3 linked regions of the Rattus norvegicus genome follow. The protein of the gene in region 3 interacts with the protein of the main gene of each other region in a biochemical or structural test. Links are inferred from orthologs where the notes say so. Each region holds a gene or a part of one and is shown on either strand. Other genes may lie near its edges.

Region 1 (5,495 bases), about 800 kb from region 3:
GATATTTTTTGGTTGTGAGCCTAGCCTTTAACGGCTGAGCCATCTCTCCAGCCCTTGGAGATATTTTTTATGTGTATTGTAACGCTTGAGTTTGTGTGTACCATGTGTGAGCTGGAAGGAAGGATCCTCTGGAAGGATCCACAGGGCCAGAAGTTGGATCCTCTGGAGCTCGAGACTCAGGTAGTTTTGAGCCACTATCTGCATGCAAACAACTAAACTCAGGTCCTTGGCGAAAGCAGTCTGAACACACTGAGCTGCCTTGAGCCCCTCCACCTTATTCTTCAGACAGGGCCTTTGAACACGAAGCTTACTATTTGGCTGGGATGGCTGGCCACTGACCACTGGGGACTGGGCACCGTTGCCTCCTGAGCAATAAGACTACTAATGTGAGGTGATGCATCTGGCTTTCCCATGGCTGTTGGGAATCTGAATGCAGGTTCTCATGCTTATGTGGCGAGGGCTTTGTCACACTGGTCATTTCCTTAGCTCTAGTATGTATTTTCTTGACCTTAAACTAGCGTCTCCTTTTCCCATGCTCCCTGTCATTGCCACCATCTGTGGCACTGTCATTTTTCCATGCTGGGTCTTGGGCATACCAGACAAGTGGTCTGCCATTAAGTTATACCTCCAGGGTTGGGGACTTAGCTCAGTGGTAGAGCGTTTGCCTAGCAAGCTCAAGGCCCTGGGTTCGGTCCTCAGCTCTGATTAAAAAAAAAAAAATTGGGGGGCTGGAGAGATGGCTCAGTGGTTAAGAGCCTAAGTTCAATTCCCAGCAACCACATGGTGGCTCACAACCATCTGTAATGGATCTGACACCCTCTTCTGGTGTGTCTGAAGACAGCAACAGTGTATTCATATACATAAAACAAATCTTAAAAAAAAAGATAAAATTTGAATTGAATTATTAAATTATTCTACAACAATACTTATGCACAGAGCTGTCCTCAACCACACAAACTCCTTGCTGCAGTTGTGAACTTCCTGAGAGGTGGCCTGTTGTTACCTTTATGGTTCTGTCTCCAGAGGCAGAAACGATGTACTTGTCATCAAAGTCGACAACATTGACCGCAGCTCGGTGGCCCACCAGCACCCTCCTGAGGGTGATGTCAGTTGGGGAAGCCATATCCCACACAGCAATGGATCGGTCTTTGGAGCAGGTCACCATCATGCCGTTATTGAAGCGCAGGTGCAGGACGGCTTCACAGTGGTGAATCAATGTGTTTAGCATCTCCCCTGCATTTACGTCCCACACTCTGAAAAGGGTACCGGGGAGACCGATAGCGTGAAGGACAATGCATGCCTGTTTTTTACCATGGAGCTTACCATCAATGCCACCCCTACTTTCTTTTTGTTTTAGAGATGGGGGTCTCTCTGTGTAGTCCTTGCTGTCCCCACTCACTTTGTAGACCAGAATGTCTGTGAACTCACAGAGATCCACCTGCCTCTGCCTTCCATGTGCTGGGACTAAGGGTGTGCACCACCATGTCTGGCTCACCTCCCACTTTGATGGCAAGTGTGCTTTTTCTCTGCGTCCCCCAGGTAGAGCACACACAGGAAACAACGCAGAGGACAGGCTTAGCGAGGCTTCCTGCGCAGCGCTCAGGGATGAGAGTCACTCTCATCTGGTAATTTGGCCCAGCTTTTTGGGTTATTATTTTAATACTGACATTCAATACAGAAGGCACATGGAAACAGGAGCCTGCTAAGGAACAGCAGTAGTATCTGTCCAATCACTGCATCCACGGGCCATGATGTTCTGCCACAGATTGAGTAATGCGGACTCGACTTTTACTTCCCTGAACGTTAAGTTCTCTACCTTAGACTCTAACTCCAAGGCTCCATCCGTTTTCGTGCTTTTCAGGGGCAGGCTGGTCAAGAGGAGCCCTCCCGCCCACGTTAAGCATGTGCTTTATGGCAGTGGAGACCCTTGCAGAGCTTGAGAACTGTGCCAAGATAGAATTGCCTCAATTGCTTTCTTTCTGCACATTGATTGGGTTTCTCCTTCCCAGTTTACCCTCCTTTTGGAAAGATAGTTTTGTGCTGTAGTGTTGCTAGGAGGTGGACTGCTATTTAGCATGCTAAGTCCTGGGTTCAATCCCCAAACCACCAAGACAGCAAACAAACACCATCTCTCCCCTATTCTGTAAATGACCTAAACATCTACCATGCTCCAGCTCCTGTGAGGCACCCCAAAGGCCAAGAGTTAAGAGCCAGCGACTGCAAGGGGGGGGGGGGTCTGTTGTGGCTAGAAGTAGAAGGAACACTATCCCTATTTACAGGGATAACTTTAGAGAATTTGACAATGCAGATAACTGCCGTCTATTCCAGTTGTTATAAAAAGTGACTTTTGGTGTGTTTGCAAACCCTTAGCTTCAGGGGAAATCCCTGGCAGGTTCCCAGCAGTGCACTAGAATCCTGAACTCAAGCAACACTGGACTCCAGCAGCACAACGGCTGTGCCATCAAATCACCAGAGCCTCTGGAAATTGAGGGCCCCCTCCTAGAGTAAAGCTTGCAATTAAACACTGTGGGGATGGCAGGGGAGGGCTGTATCCACTTGAAAGAGCTCGCACATGCCTGCCCCGCAGTTACAATCACCTGAAAGTCAGCCTTCATTCCCTTCCTGCCATTCCCGTGAGCTAGCTCCATAAGGAATACAAGGCTTCCCATATAGAGGGGGAGTTCCTAGGACAGGTGCTCCTCCAAATTAAAGTCTGTGTGTAGCTTCTTAAATGTGCCAAAGTAGAAATCTACCCAACGGTTCCAACATCAAGTGTTGGTTCTGGAGTGACAAGTGACCGACAGGAAGCTAACAGCTTATTCTTTAGTTTCCGAACTGAGTTCACCAAGACGCAGTCACTGTGACACAAATCGGAGGCTTAGAGTTCAAAGGGGTAGCAGGGCCATACCTGACGGTGGAGTCTGAGGAGCCCGTGATGATCACCCTCTCGTCATACTGCAGACACAGGACAGAGCCTGTGTGGCCTGTGAGAATCCGCTTGCATTCCAGTGTGCTTTTATCCCAGATCTAGGATGGCAAACGAGACCCTTTTGATCACTGTCATAATGGGTGCTGTGGAGACTTGTTGTTCTGGACATGTGTGATCCCCAACATCAAAGCCCAGAGAGGGCAAGACTGCGTTCTTTCCTCCAGGTTGAGCTAAGCTCCTGGATGTGTTGACTTCAGCTCTAATGCTAACTTATCCTTTTCATCAAGGCGGAAGAGTAGCCTATAATTACCAAGGCCAAAGTAACAACAGTTCCCCCATCAGTGCACTTCTAGAAGGGGGTTCAACCCTGGACTACGCATTTATACGATTGTGTGGGGAGAAGCAGACATTTGCCCTTCAGGGAAATGATTCTCATGTTCTAGAAACAACACTCAAGGCCAGGCTTCAGACTGCTGTGTGAGTGTGGTCACCCTCCTCCAACAATGCTCCTCCCGTGAGGAGGGTCCAGTCACCTTGATGGTGTTGTCTCGAAGGCCACTGACTATCTTCTGGTCATCATACTGTAAACAGTAGACCCCTTTACTTGTTTCACTCCGGCAGTGGATTCTCTGTAAACTGTGTCGCCCACATCTCCAATTGGACTCTATTGTCTAAACAGAGGTTCCAAAGCAACAGTTAATTAGGAAAGAAGGCACCTCAGTTTACGGCAGGGGTTCTCATCCTGTGGGTCTCCACCCCTTTGGGGCCTCATCAACCCTTTCACAGGGGTGGTTTAAGACCACTGGAAAACAGACATCTACATTACAATTCACAACAGTAGCAAAATTACAGTTATGAAGTAGCAATGAAAATAATTTTTATGGCTGGAGGTCACTACCACACATTAGGAAGGTTGAGAGCCACTGCTCAATATGCTTCATACAACAAGCTAAAAGGTAGGCACCAAGTAAGGCTGCAGGCCCAGTGTTCCTCTTAGGCACGTGGTATCCATGCCTGCTGATGGCCTTTCTTGAAGCTCACCAGCGTCAGAGTTGCAAACTCACACTGCTGTTTTAGGAAGGTGGCAATCCTTCTCTACAAAGGTTTTAAAGCTGGACAAAATTTGGCCAGGAATTTTCTGTACTTTATCAACCTTATTCTAGTAAAGATACCAACTTCTGCTGATTCACATTGAAAAGTTTAATGGGTTTTCTATAGTACTGTAACTTAAGCATACTAATGATACATTTCCACTCAGCAAATGTCTGGAAACATCGATTCTTACCTCAATGTCTTGTATAATTTTAGGATAAAGCGCTCTATAAAAGGAGTTGGGAGGCGCATTCTCATCAGGAGGTTTGTTTTTGAATAAGTATTGTCCCCTAAAAAACAAATATTGACCAGTGAAAATATCATAAATCCATTTATAAGCAGCTTTCTACTTTTCACAAAGTATTTCAGCTACCATTACACATAACTTCCATTAATGAGTCTGGCAAGGCACGATGGTCAGCTGATTTTTGGAGTCCTCTGTCAAAATGTTAACGTGGAATCTAAGGAACTGGACCAACATTGGTTCCAGTACAGAATGTCAGAGTACCAAGCCCTCTGGGATGCTTTAGGCTGATAGAAGTATACTCAGAACCCATCTGCTGGTCTGTTAGGCTTCTATACATTTACTGACTTCATCGTTTGATAAAATGGTGATTCCTCTGGTTAATAATAACTATTGCCTTTTCTCCCTTAGTGCTGTGGCTTGAACCCAGAGCAATGCTCACTGGGCACAGCAGCTTACCACTCTACCAGTGTGCTGCCGCCGAACTAGCACAAGCCCGAGTCAAGCTGTGCCAGCGTCAGAGGACGCCTAGCATGCTGGGTAACAGAAATGCTTCCTTCTGTCATGATCGAGCTTCATGTTATTTAGCACAGAGTAAGGTGTGTTGCTAGCTGTCTGCTTGGTCACCCTGGCTATTCCTGATCACTGCCAAAAGAGGCAGTTCAGGTCCTACAACAGAGACAAAGGACTGCATGCATGTCTAACAGTAGGGAGGGAAGAGGTGCATCATATGTGAGGCAGGAGGCTGCTTTCAGAGGCGTGCTCTGGCGTGCACACAGATGCCATTTCCTGACTTTGACTCGGGCATGCAGCACGTTACGTGCCCTTCCTTACGACAGCACATTTCTAAAGGCTCACAGCCAAGCTAGACTGCTACCAAACAAACAAACAAACAAAGGTAAATGGCAATCACTTCCTGCTGGGTAAAAAATTTAATTCCTTATCCTGAAGTTAAGAGCCCACCAAACACGGTGTGACGCTAGTAAAGCCCACTGTGGGTGTGCTGACTGCTCGTCTCACTGGCACCGTGCCCTGCAGACGGGAGACAGGCAGAAATGCCTCTGAGTGCAATCCTGGCACCAGAGAAACCATGTTTTCTCTGGGCCAGTCATCCACTTGTGCCTCTATAGCTCCATTACAATATAATTAATTGTTCGAAGTCTCCAGGAGAGCTTCTCCCCTGCCCTCTCCCTATTATACACCTTGAAAATTAGTTGAGAAAGTCTCCTA
Region 2 (6,250 bases), about 170 Mb from region 3:
CACTGGCCACTTCTTCATTTGTGGGACCACGTAGCCCAGGCTGGCCTCAAACGTTCTCTCTAGGTGGCTAAGGCTGGGCTTGGTCCTAGCCCACCTGAATTTACCTCCATGGCGCTGGAATGCCAAGCATACACCACCATGCTCAAGCAGCAATTTTGGCTTTGACTTATATCATTGAGATAGAGTGTCCACAAGTTGCCCAGTTAGTCTTCAATCCACTCTGTAGCCCAGGCTAGTTTCAACCTTTCTATACTCTTTCCTTAGCTCCTGAGTACCTTGAATTACAGGCAAATGCAACTCCCCAGGTGGCTTGGAGGTAAGATTTGAACACAGATCTCTTCAAATCAGCTGATTCACCTTAATGGCACACTGTGGGGTGGGGTGGGGGTGGGGCAGCCGGAGGGAGACAAAAGGCGATGGGAAGTGGTAAAGTCACCTGGCACCTCGAATCCACAAACCAGGTTAACCATCCACCTGGGTGCGGCCCCAGCCGGCCAAAGTCCATTCACAGGCTTCACACCCACTTTCTTGGTCCCAAAGAAACACCACGGAGGTCACAGAAACTAAAAGGGACAGAAAAATGGAGGTGGTGGTTCACGCCTGTAATCTCAGCACCGAGGCTGAGGTAGGAAGATTGTCCCTAGTTCGTGGCCAGCCTGAGCTACAGAGACTCTTCTTGTCTGGAAAAAAAGGAGTCGGGAAACAGGATGAGGAGACAGGTTTGTAGAGACACATGGACCTGCAGAGAGAAAATCAGGGGACCCTGAGAATCCTCTGGGCAGGTTTGCCTGCGGTGCCTATTCCCCTGCCTCTCTGTCTACAAAGCCGCCCCGCCCCCCTCCGCCTCCCTGTGACTCAGTGACCTGGACTCAACCCCAGTGTGTGCTCCACCTCCCGGGATGTCCGGGAAAGCCCCGAGCTGCTGTGTCCCGCCCCGGGGCGGACCCGGAGGAGGCGGAGCCTCTGCCCCGCCTCCTAGGCTCCTGCGCGTTTGAGTCAGGGCCCCAACCAGCCCGGCCTGTTCCCCACCAGCCAGCCCCTCCTTGGGGTGGGAAGGGAAGTGGGGAAAGCTGAGGGAGTCAACCTGCACCCCCAACCCCCCACAAGTGTCTGGCCTCGAGCCCTAGCTGAGGTCTGCAGATCTAAACTCTTAACTCCCCCTATCTACACTTGCATCTCTCAGGATCTGTCTCTTCCCTCTCTCTGCATCTGGGATTCATTGGTGCTTTTTTCTCTGAGGCCTCTAGCTGGTTGCTGGGGACCTGACAGGGAGACCCATTCAAAGCTCGCCTGCACCCCTAACCACCCTGTGCCCTGTGAATCAGGAGGGACAAGGAAGGCAGAGGGTGGCTACATTCTGGGCATCAGCCAAGAACCAGTCCCTGCCCTGGGCTGGGCTTTTCTCGTGCACAAAGAGTGAGTCTGAGCTTACCCTGATGGTGCAGATTCCACCCCACCTCAAGAGACAGGCAGGAGGATTTCAAGTTCAAAGCCATCCTGGGCAACAAAGGCAAGGCCAGGCCGGGCAGCTTAGTCTTAAAATGGAACGCAAAGAGGGCTGGGAGAGGGCGCAGTGTGCACAAGCCTAGGCTCTAGCATTGCGAAAAGGAACCGGCTCAGAGGGAGAAGAGCATGGCCAAGGTCACCCATGAGGAAGTAGGGCTCAGGATTCAGACCGATGCCCTAGGAACCCTGGGGCCTCTAAGAACTTCAGGGTTGGGACCGAGGGAGATGGTTGGTTGAAAGACTCAGAAACACTAAAGGAAAGATGGGACCAGTGGGAGGGGAGTCTCATAAATGTAGACCCCGATAGCCAGACACAGACAAGAGATTCGGGGGGGGGGTTGGGGGACGGGCTGAGAAGCAAGATCCTTAGCACGCAGGAGCCCCCACTCAGTCAACAGAAACGTTTGCTTGTTTTAGTGTTCCAGGGAAGATGAGGTGGAGGTGGGAGGATCCGGAATTCAAGGTCATCCTCTGCTACATAGCAAATTCAAGGTAGCCTGGGCTATGTGACCCCTGGTAGAAGAGAAAGGAAAGAAGGAAGGATAGATAGATAGATAGATAGATAGATAGATAGATAGATAGATAGATAGATAGATAGATAGATCAAGGCACAGTAGTACAGGAGTCATTTCAGAACTCAGGAGGTGGAAACAGGAGGAGCAGAAGTTCAAGACCACCCTCTGCTACATAGCGATTTCGAGGCTAGCCTGGTCTACATGAGCTCCAGTCTAACAAAGTGAGAGACAGACAGAAAGTGTGGGAATCTCAAGGACTCAGATCCAGAGCTCCGGACCAGAGGCACAATGAGCAGAGTGGCGGGTGGGGACCAGGAGCTCCGCCTCTGAGACACGGGTCCAGGAAACCCCTGGGGCGGACGGGTGGCCCCGGGGGCCCGGGGGCGGGGAGGCGGGAGGCGGGCGCCGCCCGGACTGACAAAAGTCCCTTCAGTTCAGTCGGCGGCAGGGGAAGTCCCGCAGCCCGGCGAGACCGCCTTCCCGTGCTGAGCTCGCCGCACGCCCCGGCGTCTCCGGGCGGCCCGATGCCCCGATGCCCCGCGGGGGCCATGGACGAGGGGCCCGTGGACCTACGCACCCGGCCCAAGGGCATCTCAGGCGCCGCGCTGCCACTCCGCAAGCGCCCGCTGCGTCCCGCGTCTCCAGAGCCCGCAGCCCCGCGAGGTCCTGCTGGACCCCTGGACGCCCTGCGCAGCAACTGCGACGTCCCGGCTGTCCCTGGACCCCCTCACTGCGTGGCCAGGCCGGAGGCTCTTTACTACCAGGGTGAGTGGCCTCCCCCATGAGAGTCAAGGCCGGGTGGGGGCCACCTAAGGTCAGCAGAACATAGGACACAAATAGATGGGGTTTCTGGTAGCTGGAACTCCAGGGTAGAAGTTGGTGTCCCAGAGACAGCTAGGAAAGAGGTTGAGAAACACTGGAGCTCAGCCATGAAGGTGCCAAGGGGCTCACCCAGGCAGGTGCCCAAGGGTCAAATGGCCTTGGGGGTGGAGGTCAGAAGACAGTGTCCAGTGGCGCAGATATGGGGTCCCAATTCACTCCAGAGATGCAAAATGGCTGGGAGAGACCAGATGTTCAGGACTATGAAATAATTGTTACTCGGGCCTTGGAAACTGGGGTTCTGGTAAGCAGATTTGGGGAGATGAATAGAAACAGACCTGGGGTCCAAGGAAGCTGATACCGTAGGTTAAAATCTTGGGAACCAAGGTTTCAGGGGGTATAGGGACTGAGAGAAAGGCATTTGGGTCTGAGCACCCCCGTGTTTGGGCCACAACTCTACACGATGACATGAAGAGCCCCAAGGACCCCAATATTTTGCAGACGCGGAGGAGTCAGCAAACAGAGCCAGCATTCTGCAGGCCATTTGCGTGCACTCACAAGTGTTCCTAGGTCAGGTAGCCCTGGGGGCAGGTTTGGGGACAGAGGGTTCTAAGAGGGGGAACACGAGGAGGTTAGAAACTGAAGGACTTAGGTCCAAGAGGAATTCAGAGACCTAGAAAGGTAGGACTTCAGAAAGGGAACCCTAAAGCTGGTCAGAGAGCAGGAAACCAGATACTCTTCTCCTCAACTTTTATATCCAGGAAGGGGCATCCCCTGCAGTAGCTACATTACTATCTGCTAAATACCCCAGAGATGATGAGTTTCTCTGGGCCCTCCAGGGTCTCCAGCTTCTACCTATCCATGCTTCAGCTGGAGGACACTGTGTGACAGGAGGCCTTCCTCCGTCTGATGTGAACCCTGTCCTCCATTTTCCCATCCGTGCAATGGTCCTTCCAACCGTGTCACCCAAAAGGGTTCTAGGGATAAGTTTCCTGACTCTCCCAATGCACCAGACCCCAAGACCCCTATTAGTTCATCATTTATTCTTTCAACTATGAGATTACTCAGTGTAGTCTTATTCCTGAGGTCCCACACTGGGTGGTGACAGGGCTCTCTCTGCCCTTAAGGGTCTTTTCTGCTGTTAGAGGTCAGACATTTGTGAGAGAAGAGATGTGATGTAGAAAGGAATAGAGATGAGGGATGGAAGTTAGGGGTAAGAGATGGAGGTTAGGGATGAGGGATGAGGGATGGGGTTAGGGATGAGGGATGGGGGTTGGGGTTGAGGGATGAAGGGTGCAGGAGTTGGGAAGAGGGGTATAAACAAGAACATTGTCTTAGACCTTGAGGGCCAAGTTTGAGGAGCTAATGGAACCTGATAGTCGAACACTGTATCTGCAAGCCTGTAGTAATCCCAGCACTTGGGAAGCTGAGGCAGGAGGATCTCCTTGAGTTTGAGGCCAGTCTGGACTCCATAGTGACACAATGTTTCAAAGGAGAGGTGGGGGCCAAAGAGAGGGTTTAGTGGTTAAAAGCACTTGGCGGCTCTTGCAGAGGACTAGAGCTTGTTCCCAGCATCCACATCTGACTGCTCACGGTTCTGGGGATGCAGCGCCCTCTGCTGGCCTCTGAGGGGGTCAGGCAGGCCTGTGGTACATACTCAGGCATTATTCATGGGCATTAAAACAGTAAATACAACCTTTAAAAGTAATAACTAAAAATAGATCTTTAGGGTTGGGGATTTGGCTCAGTGGTGCAAGCGCAAGGCCCTGGGTTCGGTCCCCAGCTCCAAAAAAAAAAGAAAAAAAAAAGAAAAAAAAATAAATCTTTAAAAGAAAAGGGACCTTGGGACAGGGAAGATGGCTCCGCCATTAAAAGTATTCACTGTTCTTTCAGTGGGCTTGAGTTCAGATCCCAGCACCCATGTGAGGACTTACCAATCCTTGTTAACGCCAGTTTAAGAGGATCTGGCACCCTCCAGTGGCCTCTGTGGGCACATGCACAAATGTGGCACACACACACACACACACACACACACACACACACACTTTGAAAATAAAGAAATATTTATTTTTTTAAAGAAAAAAATCTCATAGTATATGAGGTGATACAGCTCTTATAAGCCCAGCACGGAGGGGAATGGAGGCAGGGGGATCAAGGATTCGAGGTTATCCTCAGCTGCATCAGGATCATCCCGGGCTACATAAGAATGGAAACAGGGCATCTGAGAGGATGCTAAGACCCAAAGAGAGAGACCCCCTGCACAAAGGCCTGTGGGGTTGGCTTCATCCGGGTCTCCGCTTGTCTCTGCTCTTCCAGGACCTCTGATGCCCATGTACTCTACCCCGACTATGGCCCCGCCCTTTCCGCTGCTGAACCTGCCTACTCACCCCTACTCCATGATTTGCCCCGTGGAGCACCCCCTTTCAGCTGACATTGCCATGGCCACCCGGGTGGATGAGGACGGAGACACGTAAGTGACAGGGTGTGGGAGGAGCTCAGACCTCCGCAACAAGGGGCTATCAGGCTCTGCCGCCACCGCCGGCCAACACTGAACAGCACCCTCTCCTCTGCTCACAGCTTCCTTTTACAGGCAATGGGCACTCATTGGCTAATACGGTTAGAAGGACAGTGACTTTTTTTCTTTTTGGTTGTGGGGGTGGGAGACCGAACCTTGCACATGCTCCGTTCTTGCTGCTCTAACAGGAAGCCACGCCCCCAACCTCTCAGAATTTTTATTATAATCCAAATATGAGAACTATATATCTTTGTTTTAATTTCTTTTACTGTTATTTTTGTATATGGGTGTTTTGTCCCTGTGAGTTTCTGTGCACTGTGTATATATGCCTGGTGCCTGAGGAGGCCAGAAAAAGGCATCGGATCCCCCTGGAAATGGAGTTATAGATAGTGGGAAGCTTCTATGGGTCTTCTGGAAGAGCAACCATTGCTTTTAACCGCCGAGCCCGCTTTCTAGCCCTTTTCCCATTTTTGAGTCAAGATCTTACTATGTGGCCCTAAGTGACCTGAAACTCACTCTGTAGAGCAGGCTAGCCTCAAACTCACATAGATACGCCTTCATCCACCCCCTGAGCGCTAGGATCAAAGGTGTTCTTCGCCACACCCAGCTCTGGGAACTGTTTTATCTGCTGATTTTCTGGAGGTCACACACACACACACACACACACACACACACACACACACGTGAGATGGGAGTCTGGTGTGTCGTAGGTCATGTGTCCAGTAAACTTCATCTAGAGCTCCATGTGGTGGTATACACCTGTAAGCCTCCTTCTGGGGAGGCTAAGTAGAGGCTGGACTAGAGAAAACAAAAGGAGTGGCTGGGGATATAGTACAGTTGAGAATGCTCGCTTGACTAGCACGCAGGGCGGGCGGCCCGGGTCCCATCCCCGGCC
Region 3 (6,256 bases):
GGACCTGAGACCAGATCTGTCCAACCCCAGGGTTCAGCTCTTTGCAGATTCCTCTACCTGAACCTCTAGACCTGGGAGCAGAAGATCCCAGCCACTGGAGGTCCCACAGACGTCGGTCCTGTGGTGGTTGCTTACGTGTCTCCGTTCTCGTCCTGTGCCATCAGCAGGTGGCGCTGTCCCGCTAGCAGAGCACGCGCGTCCGCGGTGACGCCGTAGTCCAGCAACGCTCGGGCGCTGCGCTGCGCCAGACCGAACAGGCGCGCGTTGTACTCGCGAGCTAGGGACGACAGGGCGCGTGGGTGCGGGCCAGACCCCCAGCCTGGTGCACGCCCGTCCCCCAGAGTTCCTAAGACCTACCTCGCTGCAGCGTGTCCAGGGCCTGCTGCTCGCTCTGGGGGGCCTCGGAGGGTGCTCTGGGCTGCTCCTCTGCCTCGCCAGCCTCCGCGTCCCGTCCAGAGCCGGCCATCTGCGCTCCACCTCCCCCACCCGGGAAGCAGCCCATTGGGGCTGCACCGGATTGGTAGGGGCTGTAGGCGAAGGAGGAGAAAAAGCCGAGGCTGCCACCTGTGGGCATGGGGAAGGCTGTGAGGTGCTAGCCAGGACTCTCCCAGATTTCTCTTCTAACTTCGCCTTATCTCCTCCACCCCTTTCCCTGCCACGGACACCTGCTCACCTCCTCCAGCGCCTCCATAACCCCCAGCGGAGCCCCCAGAACCTCCACCCATGTGGGATCCGCCCCCGAAGGGCTGGGAGAAGGTAGGCAAGGCCTTTCTCCGCTTCCTCTGTACTTCCTCCTTGTCTAGGGGGAAAGAGAATCGGGGAGTTAAAACCCAATATGGGTCAGACCCTAGATTCCTCAAGCCGGCTCCTGGGAGCCAACTCTAGGCCACCTCCAGGCCGGCCTTGCTCTGTCCAGTCTTTGGGAATGCTGAAGCCCCACCTGACCCACCTTCCACCAGAGGGTAATACGTGAACTGTTTGGAGTCGGAGACATCGCCCCCACGCTTGCGTTTCAGCTGCAGGAACACCGTTACAGGCCTCTCAATCTTCATCTTGTGATAGGGCGGTGTCCGGAACACAATGGCATACTGGGGTGGAGGGTGGGAGAGCAACATGGTGTCAGTGAGGCCTCTTCATAGCTCTGTCTCCAAGACAGGCCCTAGTTCCTCAGTACCTGTTTATGAACGTCTGTGGGAGAGAAGTCCCCAAAGGCTTGCCATCCGTTCTCGTCATCCTCATAGAAACGAACCTCAATGTCATCTACAGAGAAAAGTGACGCTTAGCCACAGGGAGAACCTGCAGGCCAGTGCATTCATTCCGAAATTGCCCTGGCCCCTAAGCCTTACAGCCAATGTTTCCACCTCCCAGAGAGGGCTTCTGCCTCACCTTTCTGCACCTTATCGCAAAGCAAATAAACTTCGTCTCCACCGCGCACGGAACCTGCTGTTTTGTCCATTCGGGAAATCTTCAGGTTTGAGGCCCCTGGAGACTCTATAAGGTGGGGGATGGGTTGGGGACACATTGATGGGATTGGAGGCTTGGCAAGGTCATTGTCATCATTATCAAACTTCAGGAACCACAGTATTCTCATTAACCAACTCGGAAACAACACTCAGATTTGCTTACGACCACTCACCCAACACGAACATAGCAGGGCCAAACCCCATAGCTTGGAGGTATCGCCAGTGCTCCTTTGGGAACCCACACTTGGCACCCTGCAGAATACTCACTGCTGTCGTGGATGGGCTGGGAGATCACAGGCTTCAGGGGCAGGGAGAAGGAGCCATCACTAGCTCGAAGGAAAGCTGAGAAGCGTAGCCGTACAATGCTCAAATCCATGACTTTCTTCAGCTCCTTGGCCTCCTGCTCCAGCTCCCGGCGCTCGGCCTCTGGATGGGGCAACGTGGTGTGAGCTCTGAGCTCCTTTCCCCGGCTCCTCTCGAAACACCTCCCGGCCATCCCTTGCTACCACACCTGTAAGGCCCTGAGGCTTGGAGCGGAGCCGCTGCCTCTGGAGTTTCTGAATCATAATCTCCATCATGTTCTTCTTGGTTACATGCAGGACACCCAGATTATTAAATCTGGAGAGGGCAAGGAGGGGTCAGAGGGCTTTGACCATGAAGCTTTTTCCTTCTGAGGCAGCGCCCCTCCCCTCACCCCTGACCCCTGCACATGGCCAGACTCATTCGGGCTCTGTCCTCCAAGGAAACTGTTTATAGCTGAGCCCTGGGGGTTCTGGGGCCGAGGTACATCTCCCCCTTTGTGTGTTAATCACACAGGTAGGCTGAGACCTGAGACTGCCAGGCAGTGAGCATCCCACTGGGGGCCACGGGCGGAAACACCTACTGAGCAGTCATGTCCTTGGGTCCCACAGACACGGCACACACCCCCAGCTCAGAGCACTGCTTGCCCACCAGACTGTGGGCATGTGCACGGGGTGGGTCACTGTGTGTCACCAGGTCCACCTCAATCTTGGCCGGCCCCTCGTAGTTACAGATCTGAGAAGGGTAAAGGATCATCATCAGTCGTAGCGCGGATATCCCGTTCCTACCCTCCAGCGTCATCATCCGAGCTCACCTTGACAGTAGGATAGGTCTTCCGGCCCTTCTCACTGGAGGCACCTGGCAGACCTCCATGGGAGGGGCCTTCACAGCCATATCGAAATCTGAAGCCTCGCTGAAGGTTCCATGGAAGAGACACTGTGATCAGGAGAGGCAACTCCCCCCTGCCACCCCCACATGGTAACTACTGGCTAACACTGACCACAATGACCAATAGTGTCTCTCCTGTATATTTCCTTATAACCCCCCAAAATAGCAGCAATTGACAGTTATAACCACCCCACGTGTCCCCAGAGCTGAAGCCATCACATCTCTGTTGTTCACTCACCTGTTTAGGCTGTTCCACAATCACCAGATAGGGGCCATCAGCTGGAAATAGAGGGGCCTTGCTGAGCGTGGGGGGGGGGTATCTAAGACCATCCCTCAGTGGGGCCTCCCCAGGGAACACGCGAGGTTTGCAGACACTGGGAGGCCAAAGACTTACTGACCTGTCTCTGGGGCTGGATCCTTGGGCTCCACAATGGAGGGGCTGAATTCAAAATCATCATATTCAGGGATGCCATCCAAACCCTGGTTTATAGACGGAGAAGGTGGCAGCTGATTCAACCCACACCCACTCCCCCACACACCCCCCTTAAGCCCTCTGCAGTCACTCCTAGGACTCCTCTTCAAGCTATGAGGAAGCTCCTTTCTGGGCAGGGTTTGCAGACAGCACAGACTGACAGACTAGGGGAATTTGAAGCCGTGCAGAAGTAGGGAGTGGAGGAGCGTCCAATACAGACACAGACGGCACCAGCCGCCTTCAGGGTCAGGCAGTGTGACTTACTGGATCGTAGCAACGGTCCATATTTCTGGGCTAGGCCCTGCTGTGTCTTTTGGCTTCGGCCCGGTTCAGCTTCCCAGAGTTTCAGACGCCCGCCTAAGGTGAAGAGAGGCACAGGAGGGGGAAGAGGGGAAGAGCTCAGGATAGGGGTGGGCAGGAGAGGGGGGTTCAGATCTGGGGGAGGGTCTGATCTCCTCCAGCCGCCCGTCCGGGCGTGGCGGGAAAGATCCGGTGGAGGTCGAGATCCGGATCGGGGCTGGGCCGGGGAAGGGGCAGAAAGTTAGTGCTCTTAGGAAAGTCCCGAAAATACCAGGGGGAGGCGGAGCCGGAGGGGGCGGGCCTGGAAATGACGCCGGGGCCCCGCCCCCGCGGCGGGAGGGGCGGGAGGCCCAGGCTGTTCCTGGTTCCCCAGCAGCCGCTGCAGCCCCTGGGGCTCAGTCGAGGCCTAGCCGGCCTCGCCCCCTCTCCGCAGCCTGGAGCAACCTTGGGATTTTCAGCCAGTGTGGAGGACACGGCTGATTCACCTAGGGGCTTTTGTGGGGACATTCCTGCCGTCGGAGGCCCCTTTTCCGAATGGCCCGTAGGCGGGGGCTCTTGCAGTGGGGCCTCCGGGGGTTCTGCCCAGAGAATGTGATTCGGGCCGCTGGGTGGGGGGAAGGAGTTTCCCCCTTCACGGTCTCCGGAGACTCCGGAACGTCTTAGCTTCCCGGATTCTCCCGCTGCACCTGCTCTGGGTGGCCAGGCAACCGGTCGCATTCCGCCCTCCCCGGCGACCCCAATCCCAAAGCCATGTGTATTGCGCGTGTGTCCGCTACAGGAATGTGCGTTTCATCCCTAATGTCTTGTGTGCCTGGTGAGTGCGAGTGGTGGCAACGTGGCACGTGCAAGTGAGCATTCGTCCACACAGGTGAGTTCTTGAGCTGCTCAGTGTGGGCACACGTCCGTGCACGTCTGGATGTCCGTGTGCAGGCACCGGTGCACTGGTGCCCTTCTGCCCGCGAGTGCGTGTGCAGGGCTGACACCGGCCGGCTGTGCGCAGGCGGGCTAAGGGCAGGCATACGTGTCGATGATGTGTAGCAAAGTGTTCTGTTCCTGTGCGCACTCACTGGAGGTGGCGTCCAGCCCCAGACTGTCATCTAAAGTGTCCCTTCCCTCCCTCTCCATTCCCTGGACACTCAGGGTTCTGAATCCAGCCACTCACCGTGGTGGCGGCTCTGGTTCCGACTTCTTTCCGAGCCCTTCCCTGGACCGGTCGTTGCTCCTCTCCAGCAGTAGGGCTCCAGCCGGGAAAGCCCCTTTCGGCCCCCCGAGGGGGGGAATTCCCGTGACGTTCCTGTGCGTCACTCCCCATGCCCTTTTTTATTGGCTGAAAGTTTAACTCCAGGACTCTTGTAGCAACCCGGAGCGACGAAGGCGCGCCCCTTTCGGGGAAGGCTCGCCCGGGACTGGCCGCGGGGTGTTACCAAGCGCCAGTTCTGCTGGGGACAGGCGAGGTGGGACGGCGGACCAGCGCAGGGAGCGGCTCGGATCTCTGCACCTTTCCAGGCTTGCCCGGGACCGCTACGGAGTCCATTGGGCCTTTTGGCTCTTGCTATGCCTGGAGAGTGGCTATCTCTGAAACGGGAAACCCAAGGAAACCGGGTCAGCTGGACACTCCAGTCACCCTCCGGGAGAGGGGCCTCTTAGCTGGGAAGTAAGGGGAAGAGGAAGGAGTCGGATCTTGCGGTCAGCTCCAGATCGCCATCTAGCGGCTTTTCTGGAGCCGCGAGGAAACTCTGGGGTCAACTGTCTTAGTTTCCTGGCTTTAGATGTTTATTCTGTAAGTGTCCGGTTCACAAGGGCCAAGGCTTTTAAGAGATCCATTGGAGAAGCAATGCGCTGGGGGGAGAAAAGAAAAGGAAGAGAAGAAAGATGTTTGGCTGGGAGTCTTAGGCCTCGTTCACCCACCACAGATGTCTCAACTATTGGAGTTGAAAGGAGTCCAACCGGGTGTGAACTGCACCTGCAGTCCCAGCTTTCTTGAAACCAAGAGATCCCAAGTTTTACTCCACCCGTTATCAACACACATGCACACAAAGGTGTCCAAAGTGTATTTCAGACTTCCTCCTCTGTGGAAAATTGCCAGTGGTGTGCTTTGCATGGGTGAGGCCCAGCTATTACCATCATAAAAGGGGGTGGGAGGCTGGGGAGACAGCACAGCACTTCTTCTGCTCTTCCAGGGGACCGATCCGCGTGGGACAGCTCACACGTGTCTGAAACTACCCCACCAGGATCCCCTGGCTCTCTCTCCGCCTCTGGGAGACCGAATTCAGGTGCACACTCTTCAATTCTCGCCTACCCACCCCAAACCCATGTAATTATAAAAATAAGGAATATAATCTTTTTAAAAAGTCACCCTGAAAATGATGTTTCGCTGACTTCTCCGCGCACACTTCCACTAACAAGGTCAGGACAAGAGTTTCCAGCATGTTCTCTGTCTGGGCCTCGTGTTGTCATCTTTCCCCGTAGGGACTGTGTGTACGGTGCGTCTCCGTCCTGAAGCCCTCCGTCCGGAAGCCCTCCGTCCTGTAGCACAGCACAGGTTCTTTCAGGGCTCTCCTACAGCTGGCCCTGTTGCTTAGCAGCTGATCATAGACTTGTACTGGCACCAGGTGAGGGGAAAGGCATTCATTCTCTCCCTGCCCCTCACTCCCTTATACTAAATGCGTTGACAGGAAGCAGTTCAGATGTTTTTAAAATTTATGGTATTTGCATAGGCTTTACTAGCCTGAAAACCTGAACTCTCCCAACTGATACTGTTTGTTTCTGATTGGGGGTGCCAACTGTGTTCCTCTTATACTGTTGGTGAAAGCTAAGGTTTGAAGAGGCCTAA

Evidence for each region.
Region 1: of the proteins of Nfkb2 (region 3) and Btrc, one has a biochemical effect on the other in vitro, tested with the Homo sapiens proteins (2 studies listed by BioGRID, with this or other methods). The link is inferred for Rattus norvegicus from reciprocal best matches to the Homo sapiens genes NFKB2 and BTRC.
Region 2: the proteins of Nfkb2 (region 3) and Bcl3 form a complex in vitro, tested with the Homo sapiens proteins (2 studies listed by BioGRID). The link is inferred for Rattus norvegicus from reciprocal best matches to the Homo sapiens genes NFKB2 and BCL3.

What each region holds. Positions count from the first base shown.
Region 1 is NC_086019.1:254,304,889-254,310,383, reverse strand, and holds part of Btrc (F-box/WD repeat-containing protein 1A), read right to left. Parts: intron 4,312-5,495; coding exon 4,215-4,311; intron 3,601-4,214; coding exon 3,463-3,600; intron 3,028-3,462; coding exon 2,909-3,027; intron 1,254-2,908; coding exon 1,004-1,253; intron 1-1,003. UniProt on the Homo sapiens protein: Substrate recognition component of a SCF (SKP1-CUL1-F-box protein) E3 ubiquitin-protein ligase complex which mediates the ubiquitination and subsequent proteasomal degradation of target proteins. Recognizes and binds to phosphorylated target proteins.
Region 2 is NC_086019.1:88,609,813-88,616,062, reverse strand, and holds the start of Bcl3 (B-cell lymphoma 3 protein), read left to right. Parts: upstream 1-2,507; 5' UTR 2,508-2,545; coding exon 2,546-2,786; intron 2,787-5,156; coding exon 5,157-5,310; intron 5,311-6,250. UniProt on the Homo sapiens protein: Contributes to the regulation of transcriptional activation of NF-kappa-B target genes. In the cytoplasm, inhibits the nuclear translocation of the NF-kappa-B p50 subunit.
Region 3 is NC_086019.1:255,105,784-255,112,039, reverse strand, and holds the start of Nfkb2 (nuclear factor NF-kappa-B p100 subunit), read right to left. Parts: upstream 3,667-6,256; 5' UTR 3,409-3,666; coding exon 3,388-3,408; intron 3,132-3,387; coding exon 3,050-3,131; intron 2,931-3,049; coding exon 2,890-2,930; intron 2,677-2,889; coding exon 2,578-2,676; intron 2,499-2,577; coding exon 2,347-2,498; intron 2,082-2,346; coding exon 1,975-2,081; intron 1,890-1,974; coding exon 1,731-1,889; intron 1,492-1,730; coding exon 1,387-1,491; intron 1,261-1,386; coding exon 1,175-1,260; intron 1,089-1,174; coding exon 950-1,088; intron 800-949; coding exon 674-799; intron 565-673; coding exon 358-564; intron 278-357; coding exon 136-277; intron 1-135. UniProt on the Homo sapiens protein: NF-kappa-B is a pleiotropic transcription factor present in almost all cell types and is the endpoint of a series of signal transduction events that are initiated by a vast array of stimuli related to many biological processes such as inflammation, immunity, differentiation, cell growth, tumorigenesis and apoptosis.